Tamandua tetradactyla: one gene and its partner. The protein of the gene in region 1 interacts with the protein of each later gene in a biochemical or structural test. Links are inferred from orthologs where the notes say so. Each region holds a gene or a part of one and is shown on either strand. Other genes may lie near its edges.

What was found.
Region 2: the proteins of PRMT5 (region 1) and COPRS form a complex in vitro, tested with the Homo sapiens proteins (3 studies listed by BioGRID, with this or other methods). The link is inferred for Tamandua tetradactyla from reciprocal best matches to the Homo sapiens genes PRMT5 and COPRS.

Annotation. Positions count from the first base shown.
Region 1 is NC_135340.1:31,976,520-31,988,476, forward strand, and holds the start of PRMT5 (protein arginine N-methyltransferase 5), read left to right. Parts: upstream 1-6,385; 5' UTR 6,386-6,441; coding exon 6,442-6,551; intron 6,552-7,218; coding exon 7,219-7,337; intron 7,338-7,637; coding exon 7,638-7,723; intron 7,724-7,894; coding exon 7,895-8,029; intron 8,030-8,427; coding exon 8,428-8,540; intron 8,541-8,684; coding exon 8,685-8,734; intron 8,735-8,953; coding exon 8,954-9,117; intron 9,118-10,911; coding exon 10,912-11,073; intron 11,074-11,243; coding exon 11,244-11,321; intron 11,322-11,433; coding exon 11,434-11,492; intron 11,493-11,578; coding exon 11,579-11,701; intron 11,702-11,787; coding exon 11,788-11,957. UniProt on the Homo sapiens protein: Arginine methyltransferase that can both catalyze the formation of omega-N monomethylarginine (MMA) and symmetrical dimethylarginine (sDMA), with a preference for the formation of MMA.
Region 2 is NC_135332.1:50,614,288-50,625,911, reverse strand, and holds the start of COPRS (coordinator of PRMT5 and differentiation stimulator), read left to right. Parts: upstream 1-7,217; 5' UTR 7,218-7,330; coding exon 7,331-7,429; intron 7,430-9,756; coding exon 9,757-9,826; intron 9,827-11,624. Other genes in the region: UTP6 (U3 small nucleolar RNA-associated protein 6 homolog), read left to right, coding at 3,073-3,145, 4,081-4,238. UniProt on the Homo sapiens protein: Histone-binding protein required for histone H4 methyltransferase activity of PRMT5.

The DNA of each region.
Region 1 (11,957 bases):
AGTTGAGGGCATGCTGAATGCACCATTTGCAATCTCTGTCGCATAATGGCACATCATGAGCATTTCCTATGTTATCTAATTTTCTCTGACAACAATTGATTTTAATGGCTGCTTATGGTTTTATAACATGATTTATTTAACCATTCCCCTATTGGACATCCAAGTTGTTGTTTTACACTTTTTGTAATTATAAAGAATGCTAAACTAAGCATTTCTCTTAATTAATATTTGTTCTAGTTTCTGCAGCTTTTCTAGGAAATCTTTCTAGAAGGAAAATTATAGATAATATGCCCTAAGGTGAAGCGCACAGGCTCTGGTGTCAGATGACTTAGGTTTGTACTCCATTTAAAACCCTTCTTAGAATCAATGAGAGGGAGGGATAAGGGGTATGGTATGGATGAATTTTTTTCTGTTTTTGTTTTATTTCTTTTTCTGAATTGATGCAAATGTTCTAAGAAATGATCATGATGATGAATATACAACTATGTGATGATATTGTGAGTTATTGATCTTATATCAAGAATGGAATGATTACATGGTAAGAATGTTTGTGTTTGTATGCTATGTTTAATAATAAAAAAAAAAACCTTCTTAGAAACCTTGAGTCTAATGCCCCTTTTATCCATGGTGAGGACAGATGAATAAAGCAATATGGATAAAAATAAGTAAACAATAGGGGGAGTAAGGGGTAAAATAAATTGGGTAGATGGAAATACTAGTGGTCAATGAGTGGGAGGGGTAAGGGGTATGGGATGTATGAGTTTTTTCTTTTTATTTCCTTTTCTGGAGTGAGTGATGCAAATGTTCTAAAAAATGATCATGATGATGAATACACAACTATGTGATGATATTGTGAGTCACTGATTGTACAACATATATGGCGTATAATCAGCGAGTGAAGATTTGTCAATAAAAATGTTAAAAAAAAACAAAACCCTTCTTAGGTGGGCAAGTCACTTAACCACTGTAAACGTTCCTTACCCACACAAAGATAAACGTCTTTCCTCACTGGGCTCCTGTGAAGATTCAAGATCATCCAACATTAAGTGCTTTTCATAGAGCCTGGCACAAAATAAGGGCTCAATAAACGTTAGCAGTTATCACAAATTAAATTCATACTTGTATATGTGCATACATATATATATTTATACAATCACACAACTGGCCTATTTATGGGATATTGGTTTGGCTCTTTGATTCTCTATTCTTGTACAAAGTGCACACCGTAGCTCTTTATTTATATATTGCTTGTTTCAAAAGGCACTTGAGGTAAAAGGCTAAAAAAATTTAGCAGTTCCCTCTAATGTCTCCCTCTTTTTTTTCTACTTTTTGCATTTTGTTGTCTGATTTTTTTTATTGTCTGACTTTTATTACAAACGAATGGTGGAATTACTTTATCAAGTAACAAAAGATTCTATTAGATTTGTGATTGAATGTTATAAAAGTCAGAAATGAATGTGGTAAGAATTGACATCTTTATAAGATTATTTTTTTCCATCTAAGAACATTATTTGTCTCACCATTTTCCCCCAAATATTCTATCTCCCAGTAAAATTTTTAAAGTTTTCTTTGATAGATTCCTCACATTTTTCAGTAAAATTTATGCTAAGTATTTTGTGGTAGTGTTATTGGAACCCCTGTGAATGGGGAAAATACTAATCATAATAACTAATGTATATTGAAGACTTACTATGCGCAAGGTAGGTTCTAAATACTATACTACATTAATACTCACTACAGCTTTATGAGGTAAGATGTATTATTTACATTCCCATTTTACGGATGAGGAAATGGAGGCCAGAGGGTTTAGGTTCTATGGTTAGTAAATGGATAAACAGGGCTTTGACTTCTTACTATTTGGCTCTATGGGTCATGCTCTTAACTGGCCCCTTATGTTGATATATTTACTAATTATCTCTTCTAACTGCTTACTGTTAGTATATAAGAAGGCTACAGATTTATTTTATATTGTCTTGTATAAGTGACCTCTCTGAATTCTATTATTAATTCTCATCACTTAAAAATTGGTTCTAATCCTGGAAGTTATTCTCATGCATTATATAGATATCACCTTTTTAGTGAAGGTGTAATGGAGAGGCTGGAGGGAACTGCCTGAAAATGTAGAGCTGTGTTCCAGTGGCCATATTTCTTGAAGATGACTGTATAATGACATAGCTTTCATAGTGTGACTGTGTGATTGTGAAAACCTTGTGTCTGACGCTCCTTTTATCTACCTGATCAACAGACGAGTAAAACATATAGATCAAAAATAAATAAATAATAGGGGGACAAATGTTAAAATAAATTTAGTAGATTGAAATGCTAGTAATCAATGAAAGGGAGGGGTAAAGGGTATGGTTATGTTTGAATTTTTTTATGTTTTCTTTTTATTTCTTTTTCTGAATTGATGCAAATGTTCTAAGAAATGATCATGATGATGAACATACAACTATGTAACGATATTGTGAGTTATTGATTATATATCAAGAATGGAATGATGATATGGTAAGAGTGTTTGTGTTTGTATGTTGTTATGTTTAATTAAGTAATTAATTAATTAATTTTAAAAAGAGACAAGTATAAAAAATTTGGTTCTAATGGATTTTCTATGTTTACAATCATATCCTCTGCAAACAATGATGAATTTGCCTCGTCTTGTCCAAAAATTATAACCCCTTTTTTATATTTTTAGTCTTTTTGCATTGGATTTTTCAGAACAATATTAAGTAACTCAGTGATGAGACTAGATATTCCTACTTTATTTCATCTTTATATAAATTGTTGACTTCATATATAAGAAAATTAAGATTATTAAAATGTTTAGAGAAAATAGGAATTGACTTACATTTACCATGTTTTCTTCAGCAATTATTAAAAATGATCAATGTTTTTCTTTTTTGGTTTGTTACATATAAATGGATTTCCTAATACGTAATTTTGTGTTAATTCCTTGTAGGGTTAATTGTGGTATAATTACTAGGTCGGTATAATATAGAATTTTTTTACTCAAATATTTTAGGATTTTTTTACATTTATATTCATAAGTGAAAATTTTCAATAGTTTTTTTGTGTGTACATGTGCGTTTTTGGTGCTATTTCTGACAGGTTTTGATATTAGGCTTATTCTAGCTTCATAATAAATTGGACAGTTTTCTATTTTTTTCTATGTTCCAGAACAGTTTCTACTTTCTATTCATTTTGACAGATAAACACTGTATAATAGAGATGACAAGGAAGAGAATGCAAATGGGCACAGATTATTTTGCCTCAGTAAATCTGACACTTTTCTAGCTGGAGGACAGTGTTGATTGCCAAGAAGCAATTTGGAGCAGTCAGAGGGTCAAAGAGCCATTATTCTGGTGATGAAGAGTGCAGCTGGCTGGGCAGGCACAGAGGTGAGTGAGGGTGGACCTGGGGAGGGAGGCAGGTGCTGCGGGAAGCGGGGGGGGGGGGGGGGGGGGGGGGGGGATGCACAAGAGAAGATGAAAGGAGTGCTGGCAAAAAGGGAAAAAAACAGGATCAGGGATCAGGGCCTGACAGTGGGGAATGCTGTTTTGCCCTTCTGTTCCACTCTCCCTACCTCCATCCCAGGAGAGGCCTGCATCCCACAGTAAGAACAGTGGTTCACAAACTTCAGAATTCAAGAGGTCAGTTTGTAGGGCCAAACATAGAGAAGCAGAGGATAAGATAGGTTTCACTAACTTTACTTTTTTGCCTGGGGCCAAGTTCAGTACAAGGTTTTCTATTCTTTTTCAGTCTTTCCCTTTTGCTCCTCCCCTGTTCAGAGAGGTGGGCCCACAGTTATATGCTGGGTTCTTCTTTTATTTAATGGCACAGACAAGTGCTGTAGGAAAGGCAGAGAGCAATCTGGTATGGAATTATGGGGAACTGTTCAGCATCATACTTGCCACACATCTGAAGCCTATTCTGAATGAAAAAACAAAGACAATACAGATAAATGAAATTCAGCCCATCTAAACTCACTTTAAGATCAACCCAAAACTCTAGGCTCTTTTTACATGAATCCTTTTGAAAATTATTTTAACTGATGGCAAAAGTGACATTTCTGTCTCATAGATTTCCTTCTAACCCATGGATAGGTTAGTTAACAACCAACAGAGCAGCCGCCAGCTTGCATTAGGAGTGACATGCCAGGAGCACAGATGGTTCACAACCCAGATAATGAGCTTCTGAAGAAGAAACATCTAATAAGTCTTCTGCGGATGTGGAGTTTGGTTGGGCATAGTTGGGGCAGAGAATGAGCAGGCTTCTGAAACAACCCTTTTTTACCTCTTAAAATGTCTGTGGAGCTCTCACCCACTTCTCATGGACAAGAACCTACTGCAAAGAACTTCAGGGAAGAATTCCAAATAAACTAGGCAGATACTCCACCCTAAGGAAGGGAGCACAGATACCCACTCCTTAATTTTAGGCTGACATAACTTTCTTCCAATGAGTACAATATGGGGGGTGGGGGGTCGGGGGGAGAACAACTTCACATTGGAGAAACCCATTCCAAGGTTAACATCAACAGGCATAAATCATGTTGATAGAATGTATCCTTGATAAGGAAAATGGCACTTTACCTTTGTGATATTCCTCTCCAAATCCTGTATTCTCGGTCTAATCATGAGAAAAACATCAGACAAATTCCAACAGGGGGCCAACCTACATGACACCCTACCAGTATGCCACAGAACTATCAAGGTCATCAACAACAAGGGAAGCCTGAGAAACTGTCACAGCCAAGAGGAGTCCAAGGAGACATGACCACTAAATGTTATGTGGGATCCTAGATGGGATCCTGAAACAAAAAGAACATTAGGTAAAACCTAAGGAAATTCGAAATGACTTTGGATTTTAGGTAATAGCAATGTATTAATATTGGTTAATTAATTGTAACAAATATACATTATTAAGATGTTAATAAAAGAGGAATAGAGGAAGTTGTGTGTTGTGCGTGTGTAGAAGCTATCTGGGAACTCTGTGCTATATGCTTAATTTTTCTGCAAAACTAAAACTGTTCTAAAAATAAAGTAGAATAAGAACAAGAATACCTGCAGGAATTAAATGAGGACTAAGAGAGGACAACAGTACCTCCAATCTCTTTAGGCTCTATGGGTCATTTCCTTAATCCTTTGGCTTTAGGACTTTCATCCTTTACATTACAGGCGAGCTCATCCTATCCACGCCCTTTGCGTGTTTCCCAGGGCCACGGTGACGTCATTCACTCGCCTGTCTGCGGTCACTAGCTCTTTTCTGGTGACTTCCAAATCTCTTGCAACTCTGTTTTCACACAGCGCCCCCTAGACGCCCAAGGCAGCATGTCCAAACCTCAAAATGATTTTCTCTGGAGTCGGTCCCCTCATTTCTTGTCTCACCCTCGGGTCTCATTTCTCTTTCTCACGGCCCCTACCAACTGGTCACCCGTGCCGGCCAACGCCTCCTGTTTACGGCCTCCTGTGCTGTGTTCTCTCCTTATTGCCAGGTCCTTCACATCTCTGGACTCCATTGCCTTTCTCCCCCCTTATGGCTTTCCTGGCTTTGTTCCTTTCCTTCTTTTCCGTCCCTCTAGCTGCTGTGGACGTGGGGAAATGCAGACTTTCTGTCGGGCCTCCTGCCAGGCAGCACCGTGACTTCCGTCCTCTCTAATCACTCGTCGGGAATTCCTTTTCTCCAGTCTATGGGAATGGGTGTGCTTATCTACCTTTTGTGTTTGAGACATAGAATCACGGAGAATTAGTGGTTACCACGGTAAATTTAAACATGTAACATACTAAAGGAACGGAGCCCATTTTAAGAGACCCAGCCATTAATGATATTTTCTCACTGTGAATGTAGATCTAGGTAGTGACACAACCACCACCTCTGAAGAGGATAACGGGAAAAGGCTGACATAAGAGAGCTGCACAACCTAATAGAATTAAGACCTAAAAACGAGATGATAACGAAATCTAAAAAAGAACTAAATAAAAAGCTCTATATAATTAATAATAGACCGTGTAATAAGGTAGCCCTTGTCCAACCGAGCCAGCCAGGAGTCGAACCTGGAATCTTCTGATCCGTAGTCAGACGCGTTATCCATTGCGCCACTGGCCCTAAGACAAGCCTGGTAGTCCCAGTGATGATACTTCAAGCTTATACTGCAGGGGTTTATGGGCTGTGTAGTCAATTAACAGAAGTCTGGAAATACGTGAAGCATTGTGGGAAATCGAAGTTCGTCACGAACTACACCCTGCGATTGGTGCATTTTGGAAAGCCACGCCGTACATCATGGTGCCGCCCGCGGATTGGCACTTCTCGCCGGCCCGCCTCTGCTCGCGCGGTGGGAGAGACTCTGATGGTTAAGCAAATTCGTCCCGCCTTCTGGCGGCTTTTTCTCCGCTCTGTGATTGGCTGCTACTATCAAGGAATCCCGGCGTGGACAGCGCTAGGGGAAAGATGGCGGCGATGGCGGTCGGAGGTGCCGGTGGGAGCCGCGTGTCCAGCGGGAGGGACCTCAATTGCGTCCCCGAAATAGCTGATACTTTGGGGGCTGTGGCCAAGCAGGGGTGAGGGCCCTGACCTCTGCAAGCGGAATGCGGGGTCCAAACTCGCGGACGGAGAGGGGCAGTCATTTTCGAGAGGCAGGAGTGACGCGGTCGGAGTGGATAGGATATGGGCGGGAAAAACCATCACTTCTTGGAGGGAGAGACCTCGATCCTAGGAGCGTGAGAAAGGAAACTTATTGGGAAGGGCGTTCGTGTGGTCACTGAGCCCAAAAGTTGGGGGAGCTGTTAGGTGAACCCCAAAAAGGGGAGTGCATTCGATCCTTCAAGGCCCTAGAAGTCGAGATTATTTTGTGGGAGTGGGAGTGGGAGGAATTGTTACCTGGCAAGGAGGAAAAAAAGGTTAATTCTGAGAAGGGAGGTCCGAGCAGTATTGGGACAGATTCTGTGTGCAGGTCCCGAAAGGCCTATAGAGCGAAGTAGCAAGAATTGTACTTGGCTTGGATTTCCTTCTCTTCTCTACTCATATTTGCCATGACTGTGTTTTTTGGGGAAGTTGAGGCACAGTGTAGCGGAAGTGATATGCTCCAAAAGATGGACAGCAGCTCAGGGTCATAGACTGATGGTAGCTTAAAAAGGCCTGTACAAGTGGAGATACTATAAATCCAGTTGCTTGGACTTCTGGGCACAGTTGCTTTACATAATGACTCTGGGTCTGTCGCGGTTATAGGTTTGATTTCCTCTGCATGCCTGTCTTCCACCCGCGTTTCAAGAGGGAGTTCACTCAGGAACCTGCTAAGAATCGGCCTGGCCCCCAGACAAGATCTGACCTACTGCTGTCGGGAAGGGGTAGGGACCATCCCGTGTCCCTTAATTATCATAGGCAGTAACAACTTATGCTTTATCAGAGCTCTCATTCTCCATTTCTAACTTGGAAATATTGGTTAGTCCCCTGGGATAAAGATACTCTTGCCTTCTCCATCTTTGCTTGTTAAAAGCCTTAGTTCTCTATTTTGGATTAGAGTATCCCATATCTGTGATAGAAAAAGTCCTTGTCTTTCACCTCTACTTTATTCCCTGCTAAGAACTAGAAATTTAGAGTAAAGTGCTGAACTTCATTTATTCTTTGTCTTTCTTGGGGCTGTGCAGACTGGAATACACTAATTGTGGGAAAGCTTTCTCCATGGATTCGTCCAGACTCAAAAGTGGAGAAAATCCGCAGGAACTCAGAGGCGGTAAGATTGTCTGTCACCTTTCCACTGAATCTTTTTTCATTTGAAGATTATGTCTGTAACCAACCTGGGTTTTTTCCTCCTATAGTTTGGTGAATCAAGTATCTTATATAATGGTATTAAACATATTTGTGGTGTGAGCTCTTAACCTTTTCCTCTTGATCTCTATTTCAGGCCATGTTACAGGAGCTGAATTTTGGGGCATATCTGGGTCTTCCAGCTTTCCTGTTGCCCCTCAATCAGGAGGATAACACGAACCTGGCCAGAGTTTTGACCAACCACATCCACACTGGTCACCACTCCTCCATGGTATGAGCAAGGGGCTCCTTTCCTGCTGCATATTATAATAGTCAGGCTGTGCTAAGTGTCTTCTCATGCCTAGCCATTCAGTGTAGGGTGCATTTTGCAGAATTGAAGTATCAGCACTGTCCACCCCCCATCTAAAATTAGTATGCAGAAAGTTACAAAGTGTATAGAATATGTCAGTTATTTATTTCCTGAAATTTAAGAGTTGAATTAAATGACAAGGCAGGGGTTTATATAAGGACATAGATATGATACCCATAATATGTACATAGTTACAAATTGGGAAAAGTACATAAAGGGATTAAGTTGAGATCTGGATCAAGATCTTTTTAATTGGAGAAGTTTTCTGGACCCAATAAGTTCAAAATAGAATTCTAAATAGCATACTTGTTCTTGTGCAGTTTTGGATGCGGGTACCGTTGGTGGCCCCAGAGGATCTGCGGGATGATATAATTGAGAATGTACCAACTGCACACACAGAAGAGTACAGTGGGGAAGAGAAAACGTGGATGTGGTATGTCTCCCTTTTGTGCTGCTATATGCAAGGGTAAAGGGTAAGAGGAAGTACAGGGTGGAACTTGTAGTGAGATTTTCTTGAGATGTGGTGACTGGTGGCCGTGTGAATGTGACTGTATTTTTCTGATTTGATTCTGGGCAGGTGGCACAACTTCCGGACTTTGTGTGACTATAGTAAGAGGATCGCAGTGGGTAAGTTCATGAGAGTTCTTGTCTAGGTATCCCTTCTTGATCTCCTCTGAGAATCAGTAGTTAAAATTTCATGTATACTTGGCTACTGGGCAATTTTGCTACTTTTCCCGTACCTCAGTCTGCCCTGTTCTTAAGAAGAGTAAGCAGGCCTTGCACAAAGAAGCAAGGAAGGGCTTCTTTCTGGCAATAGTTGACAGGTCTTTCTCTTCCCTCATCTAGCTCTTGAAATTGGGGCTGATCTCCCATCTAATCATGTCATTGATCGTTGGCTTGGGGAGCCCATCAAAGCAGCCATTCTCCCCACCAGCATTTTCCTGACTAATAAGAAGGGATTTCCTGTTCTTTCTAAAATGCACCAGAGGCTGATTTTCCGACTTCTCAAGGTAGGTGGTAGAAGAGTTCTAAAGGTGGTCCAGCTGGTCCTCTTGGGATCCTTTCTTGTGGAACTCAGTCTTCCTCTCTGGTTTCTAGAGAGCAATTTTGGCAAAGTTAGAGTCTTGAGAACCACACGACAAATAGCATTTGAGGCCCAGAAAACTGGAACCAGATCCCATGAGAATTTAATTATTTTTATTTTGTCATTTAATATTTTTGAGAAATCTTTACACACATACAGTTCATCCACAGTATACAATCAGTGGCTCATGATATCATCACATAATTATGTATTCATCACCCTGATCATTTTTAGAACATTTGTATCACTCCAGAAATAGAAATAAAAAGGAAAAACTCATACATCTCATATCTCTTACCTCTCCTTCTCATTGACACTAGTATTTTAATCTACCCAATTTTTTTTTCTACCCCTTATCCTCCTTCCTATTATTTGTTTATTTTTCCTTATTTTTTTCTCATCTGCCCATACCCTGGATAAAAGGAGTATTAGACACAAGCTTTTCACAATCACACAGTCTCTTCTAGTTTCCTAGGTGCAGAATATGATATACCAGAAACAGAACAGCTTTTAAAGGGGGGAATTTATTAATTTGCAAGTTTACAGTTCTAGGCTGTGACAATGTCCCAATTAAAGCAAGTCTATTGAAATGTCCAAATTAAGGCACCAACAAGAGGTTACCTTTATTCAAGAAGGCCAGTGATGTTCAGGGTTTCTCTCTCGACTGGAAAGGCAAATGGTGAGCATGGCGGTGTCTGCTAGCTTTCTCTCCAGGCTTCTTGTTTTATGAAGCTACCTCAGAAGCGTTTTCTTCTTCATCTCCAAAGTTCTCTGGCTGTGTGTGTTCTGTGTTCTCTCCAAAATGTTTCCTCTTTTAAAGGATTCCAGTAAGCTAATCAAGACCCACCTGGAATGGGTAGAGTCAGAACTCCATGGAAGCCATCTAATCAAAAGTTCCCACCTACAATTGGGTGGGTCATAGCTTGGTGAGAATTATCAAAAAGCTCCTAGCTAGCACTGATGAATGAGGATTTAAGGACATGGCTTTTCTGGGGTCTACCACAGATTCAAATGGGCACACAGTTACACTGTAAAAGCTGTATAGTTACACAGTCTTCAATAATCGAGGCTACTGGGAACACAGTTCAGCAGTTGCGGGTACTTCCCTCCAGCCACTCCAATGCACCATAAACTAAAAAAGAGATATTTATGTAATGATTAAGAATAATCTCTAGGATAACCTCATGACTTTATTTGAAATCTCTTAGTCACTGAAACTTTGTCTCATTTCTCTCTTCCCCCTTTTGGTCAAGAAGGCTTTCTCAATCCCATGATGTTGGGTCCCGGCTCATCCCAGGAGTCCTGTTCCACGTTGCCAGGGAGATTTACAGCCCTGGGAGTCACATCTCATGTTGGGGGGAGGGCAGTGAGTTCACCTGCTAAGTTGGCTTAGAGAGAGAGGCCACATCTGAGCAACAAAAAAGGTTCACTGAGGGTGAGTCTTAGGCATAATTATAAGTAGGCTTAGCTTCTCCTTCGCAGGAATAAGTTTTCATAGGGTCAAACGCCAAGATCGAGGGCTCAGCCTATTGAAGTGGTGAGAATTTACCCAAACTTTCACTTAAGAAGTTACAGCAAGGGTCTGTGGGGCTCCATAAGCCAGGATGATGTGTATGTGGCATAAGAGGGCTTTATATGTTCATTGAAGCCTCATAATAAATAATGGTACCTCAGAATCTTGGTTTGAGGGCTATGTCTGATAGTCCGATTTCTCTCATAGCTGGAGGTACAGTTCATCATCACGGGCACCAACCACCACTCAGAGAAGGAGTTTTGCTCCTATCTTCAGTACTTGGAATACCTGAGCCAGAACCGTCCTCCACCCAATGCCTATGAGCTCTTTGCCAAGGGTTATGAAGACTATTTGCAGTCCCCGCTCCAGGTGAGTCTGGAGTACACTGAGAAGAGGGAGAGGAAAAATACCTCTTGAGAGTAGGTACACAGAATCCCTACCAGAACTTAGGAGGCAGTGGAAAGGTTTTTGGTGTTCTGTTGTATTGTCCCTGCCAGAAATTGGCTGACTTACTTTGCCTTTTGCCTCTCATATATCAGCCACTGATGGACAATCTGGAATCTCAGACATATGAAGTTTTTGAAAAAGACCCCATCAAATACTCTCAGTACCAGCAGGTACAGTGTGGGTCCCAGGTTGGGGCAAACATAGGATTATGGTGGCCTTGGTGAGGATGGGATTATACCCAGGAGTCCATACCTGCTGAGGTCACTTCTCTTTCCTCCCCAGGCCATCTATAAATGTCTGCTGGACCGGGTATCAGAAGAAGAGAAGGATACTAAAATCCAGTGAGTGCTCTCTTGTGATTCCAGGATCTTGCATGTCTGCCATTCTATATTCCAAGTCTGTCTGACTCTTTTCCCTCTTTTTCTAGAGTGCTGATGGTGCTGGGAGCAGGCCGGGGCCCCTTGGTGAACGCCTCCTTGCGGGCAGCCAAGCAAGCCAACCGGCGGATTAAGCTGTATGCTGTGGAAAAAAACCCAAATGCTGTGGTGACGTGAGTAGCAACCTGCTTGTTGGGGAGTTAGCCCCAGTTCCCTATTTTCCCCGTCAGTATCCTCATCTGTATCTTCTCTGTTTCAGGCTAGAGAACTGGCAGTTCGAAGAGTGGGGAAGCCAGGTGACAGTGGTCTCATCGGACATGCGGGAATGGGTGGCTCCAGAGAAAGCAGACATCATTGTCAGTGAGCTTCTGGGCTCCTTCGCTGACAATGAACTGTCACCTGAGTGCCTGGATGGAGCCCAGCATTTCC
Region 2 (11,624 bases), on another chromosome or scaffold:
AGATATTACAGACCCCAGACAGATTTTCCCAGACCAAACTGGCCTCCTATTAGGAGGAAAGAGTCACCTGCATCGGTTTTCCCTGAGAGTGAGACCCAGCAGGTTGAAAGACTTTCCTGTGAAGTCTCTGTACTTTGTTTTTCTTATCCTGCCCTGTGTGTGGCGCTTGTCTGACTGCAGGTCCCACCAGCATAGGATGATGCGGGGCCTTTAACTTTGGCAGACTCTCCCTGCTGGGGGCATGATGGAGACAGAGGAGAGGTTGTAGGCTGGTTTTAATGGGTTCAAATTACCAAGCCCTGGGGTCTGAATTCCTTGATGGAGGGATTCCACCTGAGTTGGGCTTCACCCCTCCCCTGGGGAAGGCACAAGCTCCAGATAAGTCCCCAAAAGAGCTCACTTCTGCCTATGCCTGGGGCAGTTGCAGCCTGAAAAGTCCTGCCGCTGTATCCAGAGACAGTCAAGCCTTTGTAGATACACAGCCACAAAAACCTCTGTTTCCTTCTGTTTTTATTCCCCCTTTTCTGTCAGTCCTGCCCCCTTTGCGCCGGGGCAAAAATGAGCAACCTCTGCTTTGATCAGGTTCACCTAAGCTGGGGCCTATTTTTAGTAGTCCAAATTTGTTAATTAGTTCCACAATTGGCGTTTGATTGTGCCCAGTCCCTTCTGCTGGTAAAGTCCTTTCCTTTCCCCTCTGGGAAGTGGCCTGTTGGGGAGGGGCGCTGGCCTCTGCAGCTTTGGAAACTCACGATGCTGGGGGTTGCTCACACCTGGTCCAGCTAGTCCAGACTGGGGTATGCCCTGTGTCTGGTCACTGACATGGCCCCAGGAGCTGTTCTGTACTGTTTCTGGTTATTTTGTAGAGTTCTCGAGGATGAACTAAAATGCGCATGTTGTTAAGCCGCCATCTTGACTGGGAAGAGTAACTGTTTCTTGTGGTCTGAGTGAGAAATACAGGAAAGTCTCAGTTAAAAAAAAAAAAGACAAAAATCCAGATGTATCAGTAATCCTATCATATTAGCACAATTAGTCACTTATTTTTCTTTTTGTTTTGTTCTTCAGTTTTATTTATATGTGGACATAATTTTGTACTGTTGAATTTCTGGCTTATGTGCCTTGTGGGGGGGTGGTTTTCTCTTTTTGTTTAATGTTATTTTGTGAGCATGTTACTATTTTTATACATGGTTGTATTTTTTAATCATTGTAGTTTTATTCATTTCTTTTTTGTGTGTGCTGTGCGATGGGGGTCACATTTCATTCTTTTCCATGTGAATATCCCGTTATTACAGCTATATTTGTTGAATGGTTTGTTTTGTTGTTGTTGTTTGTATTTTTTTTTTTTTTTGAGTGCATGGGCCAGGAATTGAACCTTGATCTCCCGCATGGCTAATGATAATTCTACCAGCTAATGGTAAAACTACCCATGTACCTCTATTATATTATTCTTAAACTGTAGTTTCCTAAATTATTCTATTAAGTGTAAGTTGTTAGTTTTTTTATTTTAAAACAGACTGCTACAAGCATTTTCTTTACATAAAGTTTTGTTTTCTTTTTTTCCTTTTGAATTATTTTCTTGAGCTAAATTTCTGGAACTAGGGATACCCATTCACTTTCTATCACCTCCAAAAGAAATATACTTATTTATAATGATATCAAGTGGTGCGACAGCAGCGGCAGCGTTCTCACCTGTCATGCCAGAAACCCGGGTTCAATTCCTGGAGCCTGCCCATGTGAAAAAAAAAAAAAAAAGAAAAAGAATGATACCAAGCTAGTATACCAGTATACTTATGTCTTCACAATTTTTCCAATATTTGGTTTTGTATTTTCCCCTTTATTTTCACATTTTATTTGGTGTCTATTTATTTTTTGAATTTTGTAAAATTCCTAGTGAGGTTGAACTCTCTTTATTCAGTAAAGAGCTCCCTATATTGTATGTATCTTTATTGTATCTCTATTGTTTTGCTCTTTATTATATGGGCCAAGTACTGTTCTTGTCTTTTGATCCAGTTAGTTGTTATATCCTACAGTAGAGGAGATAGCATAGCATAATAGCCAGGCTTTGGAGTCATAACATAGTAGTTATGTGCCTTGGGCAAATCACTAAATTCTGAGCCATAGCACCCTAAAGAGGAAGAGATATTATCTTGTCTCAGGAGTGTGAGGGTTATAGACCAAATGAGATATTAGATGAAAGAACTTTTCATAGTGCCATGCACATTGTAAGTCTTCAGTAAAATGTGGTTCTGTTGTTCAGGAATGTGCAAACTACAAGAGTAAACCGTCTCTGTAAAATAATTCAGTCCCAGTGAAGAGACATTTGAATGAGAAATAGTTATTCGAGTGTACGAGAGGATTTTTAAACTAAAGATGGTAATCTGCTTTGAAAATGGAACAAAAGGGAATGCATTTAAACAGAAGTAGGTAGAAGATTACATTTATTGATTGTAAAACTAGTACCAACTATTCTACTAAGTGCTTAATTAACCAGCATTTTAATTTAATCCTCATAGTTGCTATAAGAGGTATTATCCTTGTTTTACATGTGAGGAAACTTTCAAGGCTAGATGGTTTAACAAACTTGCTGAAGAGCAAATAACTAGTATTCGTTTATACTTTGCCTGATTTAAAAAAGCTTTAAGGTAGAAATAAGTAGTATCTTTCAGAGCCCAGATACTCAAAAGTATCCTTGGCCATTGGGAGTAGAATTGTCCCCCCCTTTTTTTCTTTATTTCAATCCTATTCATCCCTTAAGGCTCTCAAATTTCCTATTGTCTGTGAAGCTGCCCATCTTCCCCCACTGAGGATTAAATATGCTTTTCTTCATGCCACCATGCAAAGCGTTTTTATAATTGCTTAGCATTTACTTTGTTCTGGCGAGTAGTAGTACTAGTTGTTTGCATTTTACTTTTCTCAGGATAAGTTGAGAGCCAGGCTTTATTCGTCCAAACCTCCTTCCCCTGCCCCTCTTTCAAGTACCTAACATGTGGCAGGTACTTAACAATGTTGTGGAAACAGATTTGAGTCATTATAAATTAGGCTTTAGAGGCAATATCATCTGATTTATTTTTTTAGGAATCCTGCAAGATGGTGAATTTAAGAGAATATTATGAGAGGGCTTTGAGAGAGTTTGGATCTGTAGATTCTGGTAAGTAAACTTCAGTCAAAGATGTGAGTCTCTTTGCATGTGCTGTCTGTGACCTATTGGTATCATGAGAAAAATGTTTATTAACCTTTTCTGGGCCATATTTTATTCACTGAGAATAAAATTATATATCCTTTTCCTGCCTCTTCCCTCACTTTGTGTATAAATACTTGTATGCATAATTTTGCTCATAATTCTAGTGAGTTCACAAGCCTGAGGTTCTGATGGTCTTCTATTAAGAACTCTGGATTAGAGAAAGATATGCTTGGTTTGGCTCACTAAAAGAATATGATATTTGTAAGGGAAAGGCTAATAATGTGTGAATTATAGCCGAAAAGGTAACTGTGGTATGCAGATTGGCATTAGTTGTCACTGGTTGTCACCACATTACCCTCATTTGTAGAACTTGTTAAACAGGCCTCTGAGTATAGATACTTCATATAAAGGCTTTATGAATTAAAAAACAGTGACATGTATTGTTACTGAACTCACATTTTAACAATTAACTCCTGTATAGTTTCAGCACACCTTTTCCTGGAGAAGTGAATGAAAGCTGCGTTTTTGCTATCCTGAGCAAGTTTTATTGGGTATGCTGGCAAGGTTACAGTGAGATTGATTGAGGTCAGATTCACCTTGAAAGAGACTCAGCAGAATCTCTCTAAAATGTTTAATATTTTTTATTTCACAAAGTAATACAGATGTTCATGATTGAAGTAAAAGTTTTTCTATTTCTAAAAGATTTTTTTTGATATACCTTACTGTAAAGAGTACAAGTGAGAGAGGTATTGTTCCATATAGGGTCTTTGGGAGATAATAGCAAGAAGTTTCTTAGAAATCTTGGGTTGAATTGATATTAAATAATTAAATTAACTAACAAAGCCATGCCTGTTATCTAATTGTATATTTACACTTTTGTTTTTGGTATGTGCCTTTTAAAGATCTTTGGATGGATTACATCAAAGAAGAATTGAACCACCCCCTTGGTAGACCTGAGAATTGTGGACAGATCTATTGGCGAGCCATGAAGATGTTGCAGGGAGAGTTAACAGAAGCGTTTGTAGCTAAACATGCAATGCACCAGGCTGGCCATTTATGAAAAGAGGAAGAACACAGCCAGCTTTGTTAAATAGTGTTGTGAGCCCTCTGGACAGATTTGTATTATGAGTCAGTCTGTAATTTGCTCAGAGATGGCTGACAAGATGGCTGTCTGATTTTGAGATATGCTTCAATTTTGTTAATATGGTAATCCTTAATTTTAAAAAAGAGAACTTCTGTGTAGTGGCAGAAACTACTTGTTGGGGATGGACCTGCCTTAGGTTCTAAATGTTTTCCAAAATACATGGAAATCGTATAACTTCGCTCCTTTAGGCAAGGCTATATCTGGTTCCTACCATTGCAGGTTATGAAAATGCATCCTCGCTAGTTCACCTAGAGCTGAGCTATGCTGCTAGATACAAGTCCTTAGCCATCATGGCAATTCAAATTTTACTTTATTAAAATTTTTGAAAAGTTAACATTTAGTTTCTCAGTTACATTGGCCAAATTTCAATTGCCCAGTAGCCACATGTGGCTAGTGGTTACCATATTGAAGAACCTGCCTTAGGTTCTAAATGTTTTCCAAACTACATGGAAATCATATAACTGAGTTTCATTTATTTCCCTAATCATGTATATCTCTAATCTAGATGTAGGGGCCAGTTAAAATGGAGGAGGAAGTACAGTTCTGTTTATTCTCTATTTTAAAAGTATGTGGTATGTACTTGTAGAAAATATGGAGGAAATAGGACAGTGTGAAGAAAATAAAAGCATCTTGTAATCCCACTGTTTGAAGTCAAACTCAGTAATTTTGATTTCCTATATCAGAATTGGATTTATAGTGTCAGATCATCTACTCATTTATTCCTTCAAGAAATATCTGAGTGCTCATGATGTGCAGGAAAGAAGGTTGCTTTCTGGGATGGAAGAACTGAGCTGGATGTCCCTAAGAGAGTTGATTGAAGCAGCAGAGATGGAGGTGCTGGGTATTGAGGAATAGATTATCCTTTAAGAGAGTTAAGACAATATAAAAGTATCCTTTCTCTCTCGGACTGATCAGCAAGGAATAGATTATCCTTTAAGAGAGTTAAGACAATATAAAAGTATCCTTTCTCTCTCGGACTGATCAGCAAGGAATAGATTATCCTTTAAGAGAGTTAAGACAATATAAAAGTATCCTTTCTCTCTCGGACTGATCAGCAAACAACTGTTGAATTTGGGAGCCCCAGCAAAAAAAGAATGGAAGGGGTAAGGAGTACACTAGAGTAGTAGAGTACTTCAGAGGTGGAGGCATGTAACATAGCGTGGAGTAGAGAAGGCAGTATGGGAGCAGAGGAGGCAAATGTTAGAATTTTATGCCTTTTAACTAAATCTTACATTAGTGGGTCAAGCATTCAGTGTATTGTGATATTTGTGCTTCCCCTAAAATGTTATTTTCCCATGTTACCAAGTAGCTTTAAAAATATTTCATGGACTATGGCATTCCATTGTATAAATGAGACATTACTTATTATAAAATCCTCTATGGTTGGAACTTGTTATTTGTAATTTTTTCTTATAGATGCTGTTAATGAAGAGTCCTGTAAATCTTTGTTTATATCCCTGGTTATTTCCTTAGGAGATTACTCTCCAATGATGGTGGCATTATTAGATCAAAGGATAGCAACTTATTTTAAAGAATATTGATTTGTATTGCCAATTTGCTCCTCACTCAAACAATGTATAAGAGTGCCAACGTCCTTATCTGTACTGGGTGTTATGTTTTTTAATTTTTTTTTTTTACCACTTTGATAGGTGCAAAGTGATATGTCATTGTTTTACTCTGAAAATTAATATCAATTTTCTTTGATATTAATGAAGTTAATGTTCATTCCCCCTCCCCCAAGTTTCTTTGGTCTTTTCATGCTTTCACCATTTTTTTTTAATTGTTTTTTTCTTACTAATTTATTATTTTTTTTATTTTACCTGTCCAGAGGCTTTTATATGATTCCTATTATTTTTTTTAACATGGGCAGGCACTGGGAATCGGATCCAGGTTTCCCAGCATGGCAGGCAAGACGATTCCTATTATTTTTAAGATGTTTCGAAAGTCATTTCTCATGCTGAGCACAACTCAGTTTTTTCCCCAAGTAGTTTTTCCAGGACCATTTATGGGGTCAATCGTGTGTCTCTCTGTTTTGTGATGCTAGCTTTATTATGTATTAAATTCCTATGAATATTAGTTTGTTTTTGTGCATTTTTGAGTTTTCATACTGTTTGTTTGTCGTGCTTTAAAATAAAAAAATTTCCTCTTCCCTCTCCTTTAAGCCCTGAGAAGAATAACATTCTAAATCATACCAAGTGTTTTTATTTCAGGAAAGAGATGCTTGTTGTCCATAGGAGAAGAAAGCAAAGAGCATAATACTTCACTCCTTTAGGCAAGGCTATATCTGGTTCTTACCATTGCAGGTTATGAAAATGCATCCTCGCTAGTTCACCTAGAGCTGAGCAATACAGTAGTCCTTAGCCATCCAGGCAATTCAAATTTTACTTTATTAAAATTTTTAAAAAGTTAACATTTAGTTTCTCGGTTACACTGGCCAAATTTCAATTGCCCAATAGCCAATGTGGCTAGTGGTTACCATATTGAACAGCATAGGTAACAGAACATTTATTTCCACCATTACAGAAGGTTCTATCGGACAGCACTGACCTAGAGCCAATCCGACCTAATGAGACACATTAAGTGGTCACAGTTTCCGTATCGGAAAGTCTACACAGAAAAGAAACTAGCATTGGTTATAATGTCAACTGTTAAGCTAAACTTTTTCAAATGCCTTATTTAGTATATAAATAACACATTCTTTGAGGGAGATTAAGGAATAGGCTCTAACTTAATGTCCCAAAAGACTGCATTAAGGTTGCTTGATGAGCAAAAAATCATACCCCAGTTTGCTTCAGATTCTCGGACCGGTAGGTAGGGGGTTTTCCCTGCTCGGGAGCGCCCCGCCCCCCCTGAGCCGCTCCGCCCCACTTCCTCGTGACCCCGGTGTCCCGCCCCTCTCGGTCGGGAGCACCCCCGGCTGATTGGCCCCTCTGCGGCGTCTCCTCCGGCTGGTAGCCAGGCCAGCGCATCACGTGGCCGAGGAGCGTCCAGGGCCGGAGTCTCCTAGCATGGACCCTCAGGCCGCCCGGGCCCAGGAGCCGGGGGCCACGGAGCCGCCTCGGTGCCCGACGCTGCCGAGCGCGCGGGAGGCGTCCCCCAGCCCGGGGGTGAGCGCCGCGCCGGGGCCGGTGGCAGCCACGATCTGCAACCCGGGGCGGGAAGTTGTGGGGCTCGCCGGGTCGGGCTGGGCAGGGGCCGCGGAGCTGGGGAAGCGCCTCCGGCCGCTCCGCTGATGCCGAGCGCCGTTTGGGCGCGTGCTCGAGCTGGAAACGGCCGGGCCGTGGGGCTGTAGAGCCGCGCCATTGCGTGGCTGGAACTCCCGAGGACGTAGGTGGGCAAGCCGGGAGGGGAGGGAAAGCTATCTCCTCACGCCTGTGCGTACTTGGTAAATGGGAGATGCTACCGATAACCGAGCCCTGCGGAAACCGACGGGGGCTGGGGCTTGGGCAGGGGACAGGTGAGGGCGGCCAGGGAAGAAAATTTACCTTAACGACATATGTTCATTGGTGGGGATGCTTCTCATCTTAAACCAGATGATGCCACATGCACGCTCTCCTTTTATGCTAACTGAAACCACAAGGCCTCGTTTGACGCAGGGTTTCCAGAAACTTGTGTTCATTTGCGCGCCAGACAGCTCCTGCTTTTTTCAAAGGCCGTTGTTAGAGGCATCACCTACTCTTGTTTCTGATCTATAATCCCTGGTTAGGGTAAGCATCTTAAGGGTGGGAACCCTCAGTGTAGAGCTGTTTCCCCAGCGTCCAGTGTAGTGTGCCTAGCACGTGAAAAGACACCTAAGTAGTTGGGTGGATGAATGGAATGCTTGACCAATGTAGGATGTGAAGAATGTAGTGATAGACTTACAAATAAGATTACTTGGGAATGCAGAATAGGATGAGAATAGGAAGGGATGTGTGCTGCTTCTCCAGGGTAAGCGTGTGGTGCCTGCAAAGGATGTAGAAGAGAAACTGTGGGAGCAGATGGCTTGGAGCTCTGGTCAGGGAGAGGGAAGAGAGGATTATGTGCAACAGGTTCAAGGGGATCCGGCTTGGAGGAGGCTTGAATGCCATGACTGATTCTCTGCTCAGGCAATGGAGGGCTGTTGTAGGTTTGAGAGCAGAGTGGCCATGAACACTGTAAGGCTGGACAAGAAAGAGGTGTTTAGGAGGCTATTGCATATTGCAGTGGTCTGGCTGAGAGGCCCCACCTGTGGCAGCACTGCCCAAGGGCTATCTCTGACCACATAAGGTGGAATTGAATAATTAAGTTGCTTATTCAATTGATGATTATTCAATTTCATGATTAGATCATCAGTGGTAATTTTTTTTATGCTGAAGTAAGTCTTGGGCAGGTGCCAAGTCCAGTTTAGATGTGGGAGAAAAGAAGAATAGATTTAAATTCAACAAGTGTTGGATTCTTGCTACATGCTAGGTGTTTTCATAAATGTTATAGTAAGCCCTCTGTGAGGATGGAACAATTGACCCAGTTTGCAGAGAAGGAAACCCAGGCACGGTTGTTAAAATGATGTGACCAGGGTCACACTCCAAGTGGCAGAGCTGGGATTGAAATCAGGCAGGCTGGGAACATTTCTTGTTTCATCTGGAAAGAGGTTTTGGAGCTGATCTGCTTTCAGGAACTTTTGACTGGTAGGAGTAGAGATACATCTGGTTTGCTTTAGGGGAAGATATCCATCTATTGGGATCCTCTTACAGAATTCTGTGTTAGGTTAGAGGGATCCCCTTAGGTGTTTAGTATTGCCGAGGAACCAAAGCTCCCTCCTGCCCTGCCATGTATTGGCCAGGAGACAGAAATCATACGAGTTATTTAAAAGAAAACTTGATAGAAAGACTTGTTAACTAGTTATAAAGTTAACCAATTAACTGAAAGAGGAAAAAGTGAACACATAGGTGGCAACTGCAGAAACCAGCTACCAGCCCTAGGGCTGAGGGAACAAAGGCATGGGGGTGGGATTATTAAAGCTTAACAGCATAGTGGAGAGACCCTGCAGAACGAAAATTCTGATCTCCAAGAAGGGGGCAGTGCCCCAGCTGGTCTTGGGATTCCTGAGCTGGAGGGGAGGCCTTGAGGTTCTGGGATCCCATCTTCTAAAGAGGGTCCTCCCCCAACTCCCGCCCCTGGCCTCCATGAGGCTGGTTCTGGGAGTGTTGGAAAACTAAATGAATTCAGCTACTGCTATAGGAACTCCTGCTGCTGGGGGTGAAGTATTGCTGGGGTGATGTTACAGGGATAGGAAGGAGCAAGTCCCTTTTTCCAGCCTTGCCAGTCTGACAGGCAAAGTCAAAATGTGAGTTGCAGAGTCCCAGTCCCTATTTCACAAAGTGGAGGATAGAAGGATAGGTTTGGAGTTGAGACAGCAGCTTTATAAGGCATGCTCCAGATATCCAGATCCCCAGGTAATTGTTTCTTCTTCCTGCAGATTGGATTTGCCATACCTGACCACCCCCAGCCAAAGGAGACAGAGACTCAGAAGGCCATGGATCGGCTAGGCAAGTAGCTGGCAGAGATTGAAGAGGAGATGAGGGTGTGGCTAGGAGGGCTGTCTCTAAACTTGTTACTGTATCCTTCTAGCCAGTCCTTTCCTCTGCTGCCAAGTTGTTTTCTCTGCCTAGTGTTTCAACAGTGCCCTAGTCTGGAAGCCCTGCTGGAGCTTCCTTAAAAACCCCTCCCTTCCACTGAGGGAAATTGCTTGGGACAGTGGAACAAGCATAGGCTTTGGAGCCTATCTTTGGGGAAAAATCGTGATACTTTTCTGCTCTGCATCCACCAGTTGCATCCCCTTACTCATAATGACAACACCCCTTTTCAACATGAAGAAGTTAGAATGGTCATTGCCCAAATATCCTTAAAGATTGGGAGAAGGATCAGAGGAGATAGAGGAATTGGAAGTGAGAAGATAGGTTTTAACAAATGCCATGACTGCAGAATCATATTGATATTTCTTTTGGTCTCCAGTATCTTAGAGCAGTTAGAAGGAAAAACCTAAAACTGTACAACTATAACCCATACCATACTTTGAGATTTGTTCTATAACTACTTGTTAAAATATACTTTGAAATTTATCACTTTTTTGTGCCTGTGCTATATTTCACAATAAAAAATGCTAAAAGAAAATTTTCAGCTCTGGGTCAGAGCATCCCGGATTGTAGCTTTGTGGCCTTAGGTGAGACACTTAGCCTTTCTGCGTCTTGAAAATGGGAGTAATAATAACTACCCAAGACGTTGTTCTGAAGATTGAGGGAGGAGGTCTAGTACTGTGCTAACCCATACAATAGCCACTTGCAACTGGTGCTATTTAAATTAAAATTAATTAAAATGAAATAAAATGAAGAGTTCAGCTCCTCAGTTGCATCAGCCACATTTCCAGTATACACATGTGGCTGGTGCTGCCTTATCAGACAGCAGATTATAGATGATTCTTGTCATCACCGAAAATTCTATTGGAAAACACTGCTTTAGACAAAGCGCCAAGCACACTGTAGGTATAGTCACAGGAAGTAGCACTTGTATACTCATTGTGTGGCAGGCGCAGTTTTAAGTGTTTCTTGTTCTTTTTCTTCTTTTTTAATTCTCATAATAACCCTGTCTTCATTTTGCAGATGAGAAAACTGAGGCACAGAATAGTTAAGTGAATTTTAGCTTAATCACCCATTTAATAATTGTCAGATCTGGGATTTGAACTCGTAGTCTGGCTTGAGAACCCATGCCCTGAACTGGTACTTGGTTGCTTATAGCTGTTCTTATTATTATGCACTTGAAAGCATGACTGTTCTAAGGCTGATTCTTTTCTTGGTCTGAACTGGCATCACCATACCGCCATACCATACCATATGCTTGGAGGTGCATTATCCTTCGCCAGACTTTCTTCTGTTATTTTGAGAGCTTTTGAAAATGAGTCTTTGAGCCCTCCCCGATGTCCGGTGGCTCTGTGGTGGCTGCCTGTTGTGACTGGACAGCTTTTGCTCTTCTTTGCCTGCGTTCCTGCCCTCTCGCCTTGTGCCCCTAGCTCACCTCTAATGGGAGGAGGAAGTGGGAAGCAGAAGGGCAAAAATTCAGTCTACGCTTGTATTGTGAAAGTGTTTTTTCCAGAGACCCTTTGCCTCCATGACATGTAAAGTACCTGAAAATATAAACTGCTGGCTCCCTGCTGTAAATTACAAGACTTAGCAGTTAGGGGCCTTGTTAAAGGCAAAGCATCTTATTTAAAAGAAATAACCCTACTTCTAAAAATGTAAACAGAACAAAAATGTTATTTTTAGTGCTCTGGTGGCTAAGATCTCTGTACAC